2 linked regions of the Xenopus tropicalis genome follow. The protein of the gene in region 1 interacts with the protein of each later gene in a biochemical or structural test. Links are inferred from orthologs where the notes say so. Each region holds a gene or a part of one and is shown on either strand. Other genes may lie near its edges. The genes, in order: arfip1 and arf3.

The links.
Region 2: the proteins of arfip1 (region 1) and arf3 form a complex in vitro, tested with the Homo sapiens proteins (2 studies listed by BioGRID). The link is inferred for Xenopus tropicalis from reciprocal best matches to the Homo sapiens genes ARFIP1 and ARF3.

Annotation. Positions count from the first base shown.
Region 1 is NC_030677.2:55,327,904-55,335,495, forward strand, and holds part of arfip1 (arfaptin-1), read right to left. Parts: intron 3,098-7,592; coding exon 2,940-3,097; intron 1-2,939. UniProt on the Homo sapiens protein: Plays a role in controlling biogenesis of secretory granules at the trans-Golgi network. Mechanistically, binds ARF-GTP at the neck of a growing secretory granule precursor and forms a protective scaffold.
Region 2 is NC_030678.2:136,290,706-136,298,996, reverse strand, and holds the start of arf3 (ADP-ribosylation factor 3), read right to left. Parts: upstream 5,010-8,291; 5' UTR 4,964-5,009; intron 1-4,963.

The sequences.
Region 1 (7,592 bases):
CTCCAATTAGAAAATACATTTCTAACAGATCAGAGCCGTACGAGACATAGTTTTTGGACTGTGTGTGCTCCAAATTATCAATCTCATAATTTTTGTACCATGCCGATAGGTAGTGTAGTTGATTGGACAGGTAACAAAATGTCTTCAGTCAGATAACGATCAAATCTGTGCTTGTGTTGTGTATCTGACAATATCCATGAGGGATATACAATGCATTTCCAGGAAGTCATTTTGGTACAATTGGGGTCTGCAAACTATTTCATGTTCAGAACATTCAATCTGAATGTTAGATTGTTGCATTTAAACATACAATTGTATAACATCAACATTTGTCAGAAGACTAAAATCTGAACGTGTAAAGGAGTGGTTAAGGGGTAGATAGACCAACTATATTTCACTGCCTTAATATATTGGCTCCTCACCAAATGTGGATATTTAGGTAAGATCATATAGATAACATTTACTACACTACTTTCCCTTGGAGTGGACCAAGAGGGCCGGCTTTAGAAATATTATATTCTTACAACAAATTTTGAATTCTTTTATATGTGGACAGTCCAGGCTAGATGAACATAGACAATAGGTTCCAATATCAAAATGTACATGTACCTAATGTTACAAGCTTTATAGAGCCCATCCCTAAAGTAATTTAGTGAATATAAAAGGCATGCAGTGCCATACAGTACAAAGTGTTTGGCCATATAGCAAAGAAAAGTTGCATTTACAGGCTGGGCACTAATACTTGAGAAGCAGTCAGATGTTAATGTGACTGTAATGGCTGGTAGAAATCACAAGTTATTTCATAAAAACCAAGCAAAAAATAAACACCAAGTTATTTTGCTAAATAGTATCACAATTGGCGCTGTCAAGCACTTCGCATAAAGTGGCAAAAAAATTTGGGCTGACTTTCCGTTGGTTTAAAAGCGGCCCATAAGCCACCAGCCCAGGAACAGAATTTCACTAGAGTAGTGACCTTTAGTAAATCCGATGAATTTATTACACTGTAATTCTTTCTAGCAAGTGCTTATTTCACTTCTGCTCACAGCTTCATTGTTCTACCCTTTCCAACTAGTAAAATACCCCCCTAACCCTCTCTGACAAGGTGGTCCTAATCTTTTGTTTAAAAAGACAAATAAATGTTATGTTTTCTGATGCAAAAAAACTGTCTCAACAGATGCAGCCATAAACATTAGCTACTAAGCGCATAGTCAGATGGATGGCTTGGGAGACTTGGATTGATTCCACACTGTTTGTTCAACAGAATTCCTCAGAGTAAAAACCTTCCATGGAACGATGTTTATTGTCTGACCTAGGATCAACACATTGTATGAAGAAGTCTGTGTACTCTTGACCTTATAGGTCAACCATTCATATTTTGATGGAATTGTCCAACTGTTTGCAAAGCTTGTTTCAGAAATGTTACTGGTTTTATTAACAAATTGTTCAGTCAGGGAATACACATTCTCTGGGGTTTGAGTTGCAACCATGTTGTCTAGTTTTGTTGATGGCAAATCAAACTAATATTGTCTGTTACCAAAACATTTCCCCTAAAGACAAAACCACTGATTCTCAACCTGTGAGCCAACCCAACCAGTCTACTGAGGAGCAAGTTTTGTCTTCTACTGCACTCTGACGGCTCATGGCACAAGATGTAACACCAAAAATATGGTTTTAAAGAATTATTCTGTATGCAATATTTTTCAGGATTAGACATTCTTATTTTTATTTTTCTGGTATTTAAATACGCTGACACATTTGCACAGTGCTTTACAGAGATGGAGAAGATACAAACTCCTTGCAGTTGGTGCCCTGGCTGGAATGAAACTCAAGGCCCCCGTGCTGCAAGGTAACAGTGCTACCCACTAAGCTATTGGGCAGCCATAACAGTAAAGTGGAGATGTTCATAACCTCAATTTGAATTTTTGCACAGATATTTCAAGTGCACTTCACTAGTCTTCACCCAACACACCCTTAACCCAAGCATTTATACCCCCCTTTTTGTGTTTCTGTTTGTTTCCTTTTCATAACAGACTGTAAGCTCTTTGGGACAGGGATCCCAACTGTGTATTAAAACACTTAGGGGCACATTTACTAATCCACGAACGTCCGAAAAGTGTCCAAATGCGTTTTTTCCATAATGATCGGGATTTTTTTGTCGCCATGAGAGCATAGCAATTTTTACCAATTCCTGTTTGCAGAATTCCTCTCTGTCAGGCTGCATGGATAATCAGTTTTCATTCCATGAGTTGGTTTAGGGTTATCCAATTCTTTATTTATGCTACATAAAGCTCGACTACAAACATGTGATACCCATTAAACTAATTTGTGTGACTGGAAAAGATTTGGCTACACCAATGTCATATAAAGGGGTGTATATTTATGCATCAGTTATCTTGTGTTTTTCATTATTTGTTGATCAATTAAAAAAAAAAAAATGAAACCCACTGTGATTCAGTGTTCTAAGACAATAAAACATAAAAACTTCCAAGGCAGCAAATATTTTTTATATGCATTATATGATGCCTCAGATGATGCTAAGCAATATAGCAGCACATTAATGTATATGCTCAAATGTAGATATCCAGAGAAAGAATGTCCTGAGCACAAATATTTAGGCTCCAATGTTTTGCTCTTTACAGAAGAAAATTAAATATAATATATGGTATCTGTACCATAAGAAATGTAAGGAAACTATTGTCCAATGATTTTGAGACAAATCTGAACAACAATTGTCTATACTGGAGTTTTCATTCAGCTTTCAAAATACCCTAAACTGAGCTATTGGGCATTGCCCTCTTTTGTGTACCTTTGTATTACTTTTTAATAAAAGCAAATAAAAAAATAAATAAAAATGAAAAAAATACAGGCATGATACTGGCAGCTCAGTTACAGGAATGCATGATTCTATGTGAAATAACCTTATCAGCGCCAGTCCTTACCTGGATGTTTCGTACTGCTTCACAGTAATCAGGGTGTCTTCAATGGTTTTGTTAACTAGAGTATTTACGCCAGAAATAAAAAAGTTCATGGCCCCCAGAAGAGTCTCCCCATTCTTGGCAAGAAGTTTCTGCGTATCTGCATTGTATCCAAACTCCTCCTGCCAAAATAAACAACATTTATTTGCAAAACGTTCATACAAAAAAACAAACTGAGGCAAAAATATCACTGCGGGATTTAAAAGTGTATGTATGTATGTATGTATGTATGTATAACTTTATTTATAAAGTGCCACAAAGGGACGCAGCACTGTACAATCTTACAAAATACAAAATTACACACAGGGAGGACAAGTGATATAATAAATAAATACAATATTATATATATATATATATATATATATATATATATATATATATATATATATATATATATATATATATATATATATATATAAGTGCCATGTGGTATGAGACAAAGTAGGAAGGGGGTCCCTGCCCCGTAGAGCTTACAGTCTAAGTGTAGTATACACTTTCACACAACATGTCTATACTGTGCCATTTATAAACACTTTGCAACACATGTAAAATTGCTAAACACTAATGATGATGGCACTTAGCTCTGCCATTCACCCTTCCTGCAACTCCCAATGCCATACCGATTCCACTGTCGAAGAACTGTTACCAGTAACTGGTGAAGTGATTAGTTTAGTTATATCGGAGTTATAGCAAATGTTCTTGTAATGCTACAAAAAAATTATATACTGCCATGAAAGGAGCACACTATGAAGATGTTTTCACCTATAAAAAGGGCACTTAAAGGAACACTGATCCGTGTGCATTTTACTGGCACTTTTTTCTCCTTATCCATTTAGCAGCTTACATTAAAGCCTGAGCAGTACAAGAGGTTGCTGTGCAGCAAACATATTCTGCAAGGCTATCCAATAGAAATAAATTTCAGAAATATGTGTTAAACTAAACATATCTGTTCGGCTCTATTGTACCTTATACAAACTAATGGCATACTTTTTTTACAGTTCTATTATATAAACCATAAACAAATGAAAAGATTAATTATTTTCAGTGTAAATCCCCTCCATTACACAGAAAATAATATATGATAATATTTAAATACATGGGGCACATTCTAAAAAAAACATTTATAGAAAAGACGGATAAAGTAACAGCACGATATACAAAACATATCATTACCATATAGCATTTACTAGCCAATTCAATGTGATTTGTTGCTACGGGTGACCAGACTTGGGCAAACATAGTGCCTTTTATTACATATGGAAATAAGTTAAGAAACACAAGAGGAAGAGCGTCTGTTCCCGCTACAATATGAGATTACTATAACAATCATCATCATCTATTTATAAAGCGCCAACATTTTGTACAGCACTGTACAATAGAAAAATGTATACATACAGATACTGAACAATACAGGAGGTAAAGGTTGCCCTGCTTGTTATAGCTTACACTATAAGGGTATAGGCACATGGGGTGGTGATTCACTTTTCTCACCTACATTTGTATGAAAAAATGCATTTTTGGCCCAAAATAGGCTCAGTGTACCTGCACATAGGCCAATGCTGTGATGTTGAGAAAAGCAGATCATGCACCCCATATGCCCCCAACCTTACAATTAATACTAGTTTAACAATGAACATAGAAGGAAACTTTTGTGACAATGATTAAGGAAAATGTACCCTAAAATAATTATTGATAAACCACACAAATAAATGTGTACAGTATATTAGTACTGCATGCTGTTTTCATGCTAGGGGAAGCAATTTCCGATATTGTTAAAATATACGCTCACTGGCATAACATATGCATTAGCGGACAACTGCCCATAGTGTTGCAAAGGGTTCTGTGCCTGTGCTACACGGAGGCCTGGAAGGAAAGCTGCAATGACAGATAAACAGAGGTATATATGCAGTCACACAGCAAATGATCCAAACGGAGGATGGCAATCCTAATGTAACCCCAGCTAAAATGTCAAGTAAACTATCTATTGATAAGAAAGGAAAACAGACAGCTACAGGTAGAATAGACATCTGATTGGATATATGACTGGAATGCTTTAATAGTGCCATGGAAACCCTGACAAAGCAGCCGCAAACAGGACGTGCACAGCAGGACGCAGAGCCTATCTAAGTGACTGATAACAAGGGTGGGGAGCAAGAACAGCCAATGGACATGCAGAAACTACAGCCTAACAGAGACATGATCAGATTTGGCAGATTTCATTTTAACTATTGACTTTCATTCACCTGCACACAACAACATCTATTACATATATCAATTCACAGCAATAACACAAGCTCTTCATAATCAAGGTACTATTTCCCATATTGTATTGCATATTAGATGAAAGTCTCCCAATTCATTGTGCCATATGGCAGCCTTTTTCCACAGGAAAGGTGTTCAGATCCCCATGGGTCTCCCTGACAGAAATATTTTAGTCAAAAACCAAATACATGCTAATAGCCTTAAATGTATGAAACATGACATTGTTATACACAAGCAACCAGAATTAACTAGGAACTGCCACTCTGTTTGTCACTAGAGATATATCCTTTATAAATTTCCACAGATTACAATGCCAACTATATCACACATAAATGCAACTATGATGTTTTACTTTCTGTATACTGAGAAACTTCACATAATCAACACACGGCTATTTGCCAATAGGCTGCCATCGGTAATTGCACTTGTTCACATCTGGCTAGTGATCTTAAATAATCCCCATTATGATCTCTATTATCTTTGGGATGGGAATCCTCCAGGTACTTTGTTGGTGAATTGGCTCCCGATGAAAGTAATTTGTGTTATGTGCAGGTGAGAAAGTTAGTAAATGTACCATAAAAGAAAGCAAAATAATCCAATCAATGTAATATCTAATACACTGGGCAATATTATCTAAAGGTGGCCATACACGGGCAGCTTATCTGTCTGTGTTTGGGCCCCCACCGATGGGCTTATCCACCTGATATCTGGACGAAAATCAGACAGATGTTGATTCGGCAGGTTTGATTTTCCCATCAGATCAGGGATCTATAGGTATATTGATATGATCCTCGCTTCAGTGACATCAATACCCGAGGGCCAAACAGTTGGATTACTTCGATATCATTCACCTTAGGTGGGCATGTTGGGGGGGGGGGGGGGGGGAACCTCGCAAATCTTATAGTGTACGGCCACCTTAAGTCCAAATGATGCCTCACTGTTAAACTGCCTGAGCTACTTGTCTGTGGTTCCACCCATCCCTCTAACTGGCAGCTCTGAAAACATAATGATATCCAAAAAGCAACTCAGCAAACAAAACATGCAAATAACCCTTGGCTGAATGCACCTACCTACATTTAGCTAGAAAACCTCTAACCTGCTTAACTATTTACTAACCAGTTTTAATTAAACAATGCTGAGTAAAGTACACTAAGGGCTAAGACAGACAGGGTGATTAGTTGCCACAATTTTTAAAAATCCAGTTGCGGCAGCTAATCGCCACTGCTAAAGTAACAGCAACTTGTACATCTATGCACGGAGTTAGCCATCATGGCAATTAGTCACAGCGATTGTTTTTTTAGTGGCTGCGACTGTGGATTTTCACAATTGCAGCGACTAATAGCCTCATCTGTATTCGCCCTAAAACAATTAGAGATTAAGCTCCAAACACAGTGTATTTTGCAATATTTTCCTTAACTGTATTTTGAACCTTAAGCACAAAAAAATTGCAAAATAATAACAGGCAAACCAATATTGGCTGCACAGTCATAACCAGCACTAACCAACTAAAACAAAAGCAGACAGGAGAAAAGATGGAATCACTGAATTCTCTCTCTTATCGACTTATGTAAGGAGCCATTAAATTGGCTTGTTTGAATGCACAGTAAAACAACACCTGATACTTGGTAGGCACACGTGACGGGCAACACAAACTGTTCCAAAAAATTATGTAATGGCACTGATTGCAAAATCAAACACTGTTTTAATGGCTATTAAGTCTACAAGATATTACATGTAGCATAATCTGTAAAACAAGCAGCATTATCCTGCTTTCGAGTAAATGCCACCAAACACTTTTATTTTATTTTCAGTGCTGGAAAAATTCCACTAACATTAAAGACAATGGCACTTGGGGATATTCTGGGTGATTTGCCCTGCACTGGCACCTATACAATTTTGCCTGAAAAAGCATAAACATTAGAACTTTTTGGTGAGCACCATTGGCAGGTCCTAGCTCATACCCTAAACCAGGGATCCCCAACCTTTTATACTCGTGAGCCACATTCAAATGGAAAAGGTGTTGGGGAGCAACACAAGCATGGGGGTGCAAATAAAGCTATAATTGGCTATTTGGTGGCCCCTATGTGGACTGGGAGCCTATAGAAGGCTCTGTTTGGCTTTACACTGGGTTTTATGCAACCAAAACTTGCCCCAAAGTCAGATATTCAAAAACGAGCACCTACTTTGAGGTCACTGGGAGCAACATCCAAGGGGCTGGAGAGCAACATGTTGCTCACGAACCACTGGTTGGGGATCACTGCCCAAAACCCTATGAAGGACTTTTGTAACTTTAATTAGACAACTGCAAAACAGCCAACTTGCATCCACTGTTAATATAGTTGAAAAATCATAACC
Region 2 (8,291 bases), on another chromosome or scaffold:
ACCTTGGGCAGCCGTGATATAAGTCATTGACTTTGGAGTTGCAGTTAATAGAGAAAAATGTATATAAATCAGTAGATGCAAGAGAGAGAAGCTATATATGAACTTGAGATTATGTGCAGTAATTATGCTGGAGCTCTCTATAAACTGCAACACTGATAGCATAAAATGAAAGGCTGTCAAACACTGTCAACCATCTCTCTAGTGCCCATGTAGTTATAAAGATGATGCATTAGGGGCATTACGGTAAAGTAAAAATGCTGAACTAAATCAGCCTTTAAATGTACCATTCTAACATAATGTTTAAGCCTCACTGCATGAAAAAAATGGGATTTAAACCTGCACTGATAAAATCCAACCCACCGATTACAATGATGTTCCCACCAATGCATAGAGATATGGAGCACGAGGAAGCAGATTGCCGGTTTCTCCGCCGGCATAGATAAAGCCTTGTGTGACATAGCCCTTAAGGGCTAGGTGGCTTTTAAACTGCTATTGTCTAAAGATTAAATTGGCATGATGACTACAAATAAATTCTAATAATATTGAGAGAAAAGCAACACAGCATGGACACCTTTATTCTACTCAGTTTTCTATAAGCTTAATCAAGGTGTCCATGCTGTCATCTCATTTGCTGAAGTGCCATCTGTTTTGGGGCCTGAAATGTTATTTCTATAGTATTATTATTTTGCTTTCTTAAAATGCTAGGAGCTAGTCTTACAACCTAGTTAAAATGGTAAGAAATAGTCTTACAATTTTACTGGTTAGCCACTTTCAAATTTAAAGAGTTGGGAAGCAACACAAACATGAAAAAAGTTCCTGGAGGTGACCAATAAGGGCTGAGATTGGCCATATGTGAATATTCAACCAGAATTTGACTCCAAGCCAGGAAAAATAAACACCTGCTATGAGGCCACTGGGAGCAACATCCAAGGGGGGGTGAGCAACATGTTGCCCCCGAGCCACTGGTTGGAGATCACTGCACTAGACATTAGTAGACAATACTTATTTTTAGTCAGCAAGTGAACTGCTTAGATAGGGGTTAAATGCAATTATATAAAAAAAAAAAATAATCGATCAAACTCTCAGTTTAGTGGATATTTTAAAATACATAACTGCAACCATTCCCCTTTAAAGGATTTTAGCATTCCAGCTCAAGGCACCTCTACTTCCTACTGAAATCTCAAGCATGGGATGAAAAAAAACTTAAGGCACATCAGACTGTGATCTAGAAGTGATTGTTTTTTTACTATGTTTTATTATCCTGGTTACCTTGTTTTTTGCTAAGTTGGGGGGTAGTCAGGCTTTTAACTCAGTTATCTCAATTACCTTACAGACAATCCAACAGATTTTAATTAGACTAATTGTATGTTTGGCTATAGTCTGAAGGAGGACTTCCAACAGAAATATGGAATACATAGCCACGGAAAATGATACTGAATAAGAAATAGGTCAGTGCAAAAAGGAGTTAAAAGGACCATGTAAGTGCGAGGATATGCTACATGGAATGTAAATTCCCAGGATAACCATGAGTGATATATTATATATAGATAGCTATTTATAAATAAACAATATAGTGGCTATGACCCATATTGCAAGTTATACAGTGAATAACACTGTAAAATGTATATCCTTGCATGGTTATAACTATAACTGATGACATCACTAAACTGCATTTATATGGATATAATATCTAATCTAATCTTGTGTATTATGTTCTATATAAGGATATATAGCCTTATATTTTACAATAGAGGGTACATTATTCACTATATAAGCATAATGTTCTGACATAGTAAAGAACTGTTTAAAATTTAAAAAGAGATACACTATGGGGCTGATTTACTAACCCACGAATCCGACCCGAATTGGAAAAGTTCCGACTTGAAAACGAACATTTTGCGACTTTTTCGTATGTTTTGCGATTTTTTCGGATTCTTTACGAATTTTTCGTTACCAATACGATTTTTGCGTAAAAACGCGAGTTTTTCGTATCCATTACGAAAGTTGCGTAAAAAGTTGCGCATTTTTCGTAGCGTTAAAACTTACGCGAAAAGTTGCGCATTTTTCGTAGCGTTAAAACTTAATGCTACGAAAAATGCGCAACTTTTCGCGTAAGTTTTAACGCTACGAAAAATGCACAACTTTTTACGCAAATTTCGTAATGGATACGAAAACTCGCGTTTTTACGCAAAAATCGTATTGGTAACGAAAAATTCGTAAAGAATCCGAAAAAATCGCAAAACATACGAAAAAATCGCAAAATACCGATCATTACGAAAAAAACGCAATCGGACTCCATTCGACCCGTTCGTGGGTAAGTAAATCAGCCCCTATGTGTCTGCTACCAAATGGTCTGGCGCTAGCCCGCCACTGTGCACCCCCAATTTGCTTCCCTATCCTACGTCCCTCACACCACAAGTGCAGCTAGCCTTGTTCAGCACTCTTGTGCCTACCCTATATCGATCAATGGGATCATTTCTCCAACACCAAACTGAGAAGGCATATATGACTAATTATTGCTTTAATTTAATGTGCATAAATATTAATGATCTATACTATATTACAATATTGAATTCTTGAGCACGGCTTAATTCATTTACACATCATGTTCCCAATGCTTCAGTACCATACAATTCATTTTTTTCAGCACATAACCCTAATGCAATATCTAAATCTTGGGAGTATTCCAAAAAGGTGCTGGGAGTTCCATGTCACAATAAAAATGCTGGCATTGTGTGTGACAGTGAAGGTGCTGGGAGTTGCATGTCACAATAAAAGTGCTGGCATTTGTGTGTGACAGTGAAGGCGCTGGGAGTTGCATGTCACAAGAAAAATGCTGGCATTGTGTGTGACAGTGAAGGTGCTGGGAGTTGCATATCACAATAAAAGTGCTGGGATTGTGTGTGACAGTGAAGGTGCTGGGAGTTGCATGTCACAATAAAAGTGCTGGCATTTGTGTGTGACAGTGAAGTGCTGGGAGTTGCATGTCACAATAAAAGTGCTGGCATTGTGTTGACAGTGAAGGCGCTGGGAGTTGCATGTCACAATAAAAGTGCTGGCATTTGTGTGTGACAGTGAAGGCGCTGGGAGTTGCATGTCACAATAAAAGTGCTGGCATTTGTGTGTGACAGTGAAGGCGCTGGGAGTTGCATGTCACAATAAAAGTGCTGGGATTGTGTGTGACAGTGAAGGTGCTGGGAGTTGCATGTCACAATAAAAGTGCTGGGATTTGTGTGTGACAGTGAAGGTGCTGGGAGTTGCATGTCACAATAAAAGTGCTGGGATTTGTGTGTGACAGTGAAGGTGCTGGGAGTTGCATGTCACAATAAAAGTGCTGGGATTGTGTGTGACAGTGAAGGTGCTGGGAGTTGCATGTCACAATAAAAGTGCTGGGATTGTGTGTGACAGTGAAGGTGCTGGGAGTTGCATGTCACAATAAAAGTGCTGGCATTTGTGTGTGACAGTGAAGGCGCTGGGAGTTGCATGTCACAATAAAATTGCTGGCATTTGTGTGTGACAGTGAAGGCGCTGGGAGTTGCATGTCACAATAAAAGTGCTGGCATTTGTGTGTGACAGTGAAGGCGCTGGGAGTTGCATGTCACAATAAAAGTGCTGGGATTGTGTGTGACAGTGAAGGAGCTGGGAGTTGCATGTCACAATAAAAGTGCTGGGATTGTGTGTGACAGTGAAGGTGCTGGGAGTTGCATGTCACAATAAAAGTGCTGGGATTTGTGTGTGACAGTGAAGGCGCTGGGAGTTGCATGTCACAATAAAAGTGCTGGGATTTGTGTGTGACAGTGAAGGTGCTGGGAGTTGCATGTCACAATAAAAGTGCTGGGATTGTGTGTGACAGTGAAGGTGCTGGGAGTTGCATGTCAAAATAAAAGTGCTGGGATTGTGTGTGACAGTGAAGGTGCTGGGAGTTGCATGTCACAATAAAAGTGCTGGGATTGTGTGTGACAGTGAAGGCGCTGGGAGTTTAGAATGCCAATGAAGGTGTGAGAAGGTGTTCTTGACAGTAATGGTGACTGAATTGTGACAGTGACAATAAAACTTAAAAATAACAAAGTAAAAGATGCTGGGAGTTGTGTAGAGCAATGAAGGTACTGGTGGGGTACGTGTATCTGAGGAGGGAAGTAAAGTAACAAATAAAACATCTTGGGAGTTAAGACTGGGCATTTCATTTATAAAATCGTGAAAAGTCATTTTTTATTTGCCTCCTACCTAATTTTGATATCTTGTCATAAATGAACAGGTGGGATAACATACAAAAAGGCTATTGGGACGTTCCATGGGCTGTATTAAACAAACAAGTACTATATGTGGTCATGGAACCCTTGGTGACTTCTAATACAGCCATATTGTGAGCCCCAAGAGGTTCTATGAGGCTGAGGGCTTTTATACAGCTCATGGAACTCAGGGTGACTTCTAATATCCTCACATTTTATAACAGAAGGTGCATCATTTTCTTATAACAGACAGATTTTGGTGAGTCATGTGACAATGACATGACTAAGGCTATTTCTAAGGACATATCTGACATTCCAGGCCCGTGTGTATTATATATGTATTATATATGTATAAGGTGCAATACAAGCCATCGATCTCCAAGACAATGCAGGAAAACGGAGGTTGATGATTTTCTACCTGTGGCCCCAAAGCCAATGGTGAATGCTGGGATTTGCAGTCAATGTGCAAACAGAAAGCCAAACACAACATTTGCGAGGGCTGAGGGAAATCTAATGTAACATTTTTTTGACAGGTGCCTTGCTCTATGGGGAGGTCCCCATATATAGGTATCATTGTCAGCTCCTGTATGACGGATGGAGGCAGGCACCCCGCCGTTATTCAGTGAAGGGGAAAGCCAAACGCTGCTCATATACTGATGGTGATGATTGCTTGCAAAACGACGAAGGCATGTAACAGCGACACTAACGAGCGACACTCGCTGCCTGTCACCTACCTCCACCTCCTCTTCTTCTTCTTCCTTCCCTACCGCAGCGACTCCTCTGTCCTCTCCGGCCGGAAGCACCACGAAGAAATATCGCGATATCTCCCATAGCTGTGGGGCGATGCGCTAGGGACCTCTCGCGAGACTTGGCTCCGTTTCCACAGTAACAGATGCAGCAGCTCCAACCTTGCGCTGTGCTGCGGGGATGAGTGGGCAGCAGGCCTGTGCCTCATGTGAGAGCCTGATCTGTACAATGCACCCACACAGCCTCTCGCAAAAGCTAAGCCTCATCACACAGGCGCCTATACACAAGGCAGTGCCATGAAAAATATCAAAAAGGCTCAAAATCTAGCTAGTTGGGCAACACAACTTCTCTAAATCCTATAAAAATTAAGACTGTACCAGTGAATAATACTCCTCTAGATATAGAAGGATTGAGCTTAAAAAAGTTCTGTTTCTGATTTATTGAGAAATTCCACCAAAACCCCAGTAGCCCCCCCATCTGTTCCACTTCCTGCTGGCTGAATTCTCTGGATGTGCAGAAATAATAATAAAAAAACAAAACACAAATACAAGAGTATTGTAGAAATGATACCTATATTGGCTAACAATAAAAATACTAATTTGTATTTTGCCTGATGAAGGGGCCTTAGAGCTCCGAAAGCTTGCAATGTATTTTTATTGTTAGCCAATATAGGTATCATTTCTACAATACTCTTGTATTTGTGTTTTGTTTTTTTATTATTATTTTTGACACTGGCTAACACGGTACTACAGTTTTTGTTTTCTGGATGTGCAGGGGAGCCATCGGCTCTAAGTACAAGCACTGTAGGATCCAATCAGCAGCTAGGCTGACCTCATAGGGAACTGAAGCCTGTCTTTGCTTGTGTGACTGTGATTGGCTCTCCCCCTCCTACTGTGCTTCTGGCAGGGACTGTTAGGACACGCCCACCCTTCATTTCAAACAGGGACAGAGAACTGATAGTATCTATAGGGAGCTCAAATATTATTCATAATTGCCTACAAAATTAGGGTTTTTTCCCATTTATAAAATATGTCTCCTTTAACAGAAGATAAATAGGGAGGAAGGCTGAAATTTCTTCCCAAACTGTTGGCACCCAGGTCTGGGATATAAAATAGGGTCTGGCATTTCAAGTACAGAAAGGTCCATACAGGCCCCCCATCAGCCCAATAAATAGTGACTGTTGATGGCTGCACAGATTGCCAGTTCAGGCCTAGTGGCACTTGTTCTTTTTTAGGGCGTTATATAAAAGACCATACTTATAGTAAATCAGCAGGGCCACAATAACCACTGACATTTAACACAGTTATACATGACCAATAATTCTCATAAATATACTTTTTATATATTTCAACTCATTGTAAGGCATGTGTTATTTCAGTTAAGTGTTAACCTAACAGCCTAAGAGTTAACCGAATAATTTGTGTATTGGTTATTATAATTTAATGAAGTCAAAATGCATATTTAAGAAATAAGATGGAACCTCCTTTTTTCTAATTTCTCAGATTCCTTTGTGTCTGCTAAAATCAAGGAAGGCCAGTAATTTTTTCCAGAAAAGGTGGCAACCCTATATAGGTTTTTGTTTCTTATGTAAACAAATGGATTCTCCACAGACTGGGTGTCATGAAGTTAAAGAGTATAGGCTTTCCCAATACCCCTCCCCCTACAACTCACCTCTCCACAGTTCCCTTACCCTGGTTAAAAAAAACAAGTCATGAAAATTATAAGAGTGATATCCTTTTTTCTTATTTTTATCACTTATTGATATAATTCCATTGTGTTTGAACATTGTAAAGTCCAGCAATCATGTAAACAATGAAAATAAAATTTTAAAAAAAGACTATAGGCTCCAATATCTGTTTTTCTGTGGTGATTTATACTTCCATACATTTCTCCACCAAAATGTTGGGAAGTGGATATATATTTGGAAGGGGTGACCTACCAAATGGGCTTCATATGCTGTGCTGCACTACTGCCTTTGTCATAGGCATGCCTAAATGTTTCTACATGAACTCTGCAGTGCTGACTTTGTATTGGGTCATCCACATTTCTAACTTACCAGCTTGAAGTTATTGCACCTAGATGGACCAGTTTCGCTTCTATGAATTTTAATAGAGTGGGAAAGTAAAGATTCTGGTGCAAATTACAGACAGTGGGTGAAGGACCCTTTACTGCAAATGAGAAAGGGTTAAATTAAGGTGAGTTGACATGTCTGGTCATCATCTGCTGTTCTCAGAACTTTAGATGCACATTCAGAGCTGTCACCCATTTTTTTTTCGTGATTTACCTGATTTTGGGTTCTTCTCCCCTGTCTCCTGTCATCCAATAGCATTCTCCTGAATTTTTGATATTCCCCTAAATTCGTGTTTAATCTGGATGCGCATGTGCAGTAGGCGTAAGGTGAGATCATCCGGAGCATCTGCACACGCATGGGTAGCAATTTTTTTGGCTTCAATCGGGCATTAGCGCATGCACATGATGTCACTTCCGGGTATAAGAAGCGCACACCAGCACGTGATGCACTTTTCCCCTCCTAGTGGTGCTGGCAAGTTGACAGCTCTGCACATTGTTTTGGAAACCAGGCAATTTACAATCTGTCACTGAATAACATTTAATTTGGAAATACAGAATAAAGTATTAAATAGCCCCTTTAAATTGTAATGGATGCTTAGTTCCTTCTCACAAATAGATTTTATAATATTTTCACCTTTTGTCACATAAAAGGTTTATTATTGTGCTTCCTTAACCTAACATTTTTGTCTTTCTGCAAACAACTCAACCTTGCTGCGTGTCAGTCAAAAAGTAACTACAGAGTAAGCAGACCCTGCACTTGCAGTTGGGCCCAGTAGTGTAAAGGTCCCTGTAAGGCCGAAAATAATGAGAAATTTCAATATATCTTGGTAGATCAGGTCAACTTGCCAGTGTTTTAGGGCCCTAAAATGAATTTGATATGGGACCCAGTAACATCTAGTTACGCCATGGGTGTCAGTAGTTTACTGTTGCTAGAATCAGCCAGTTAGAGCAAATGATATCTGTCAGTAACTCACTGCATGTTGGTTGAAGCTGGAAAAAAATGCTGGATGAGGAACTCAAAATAAATAAATCGTAAACAGTTTTAAGAAACAAACTGAAGAACAGGTTTATTAAACATCTACTACATTTAATTTTTTTAAAATAATACTGACTGTTGCTCTTTAATATTTTTTCATCAGAGATAGTACAGCTATGACTTGACTGGATGGTAAGTTCAGGAGGAAGAAGGTAGCAATGGCAACAGGCAATAATAGTAGGGAGAGAGTATCAGTTTAATGGGCAACT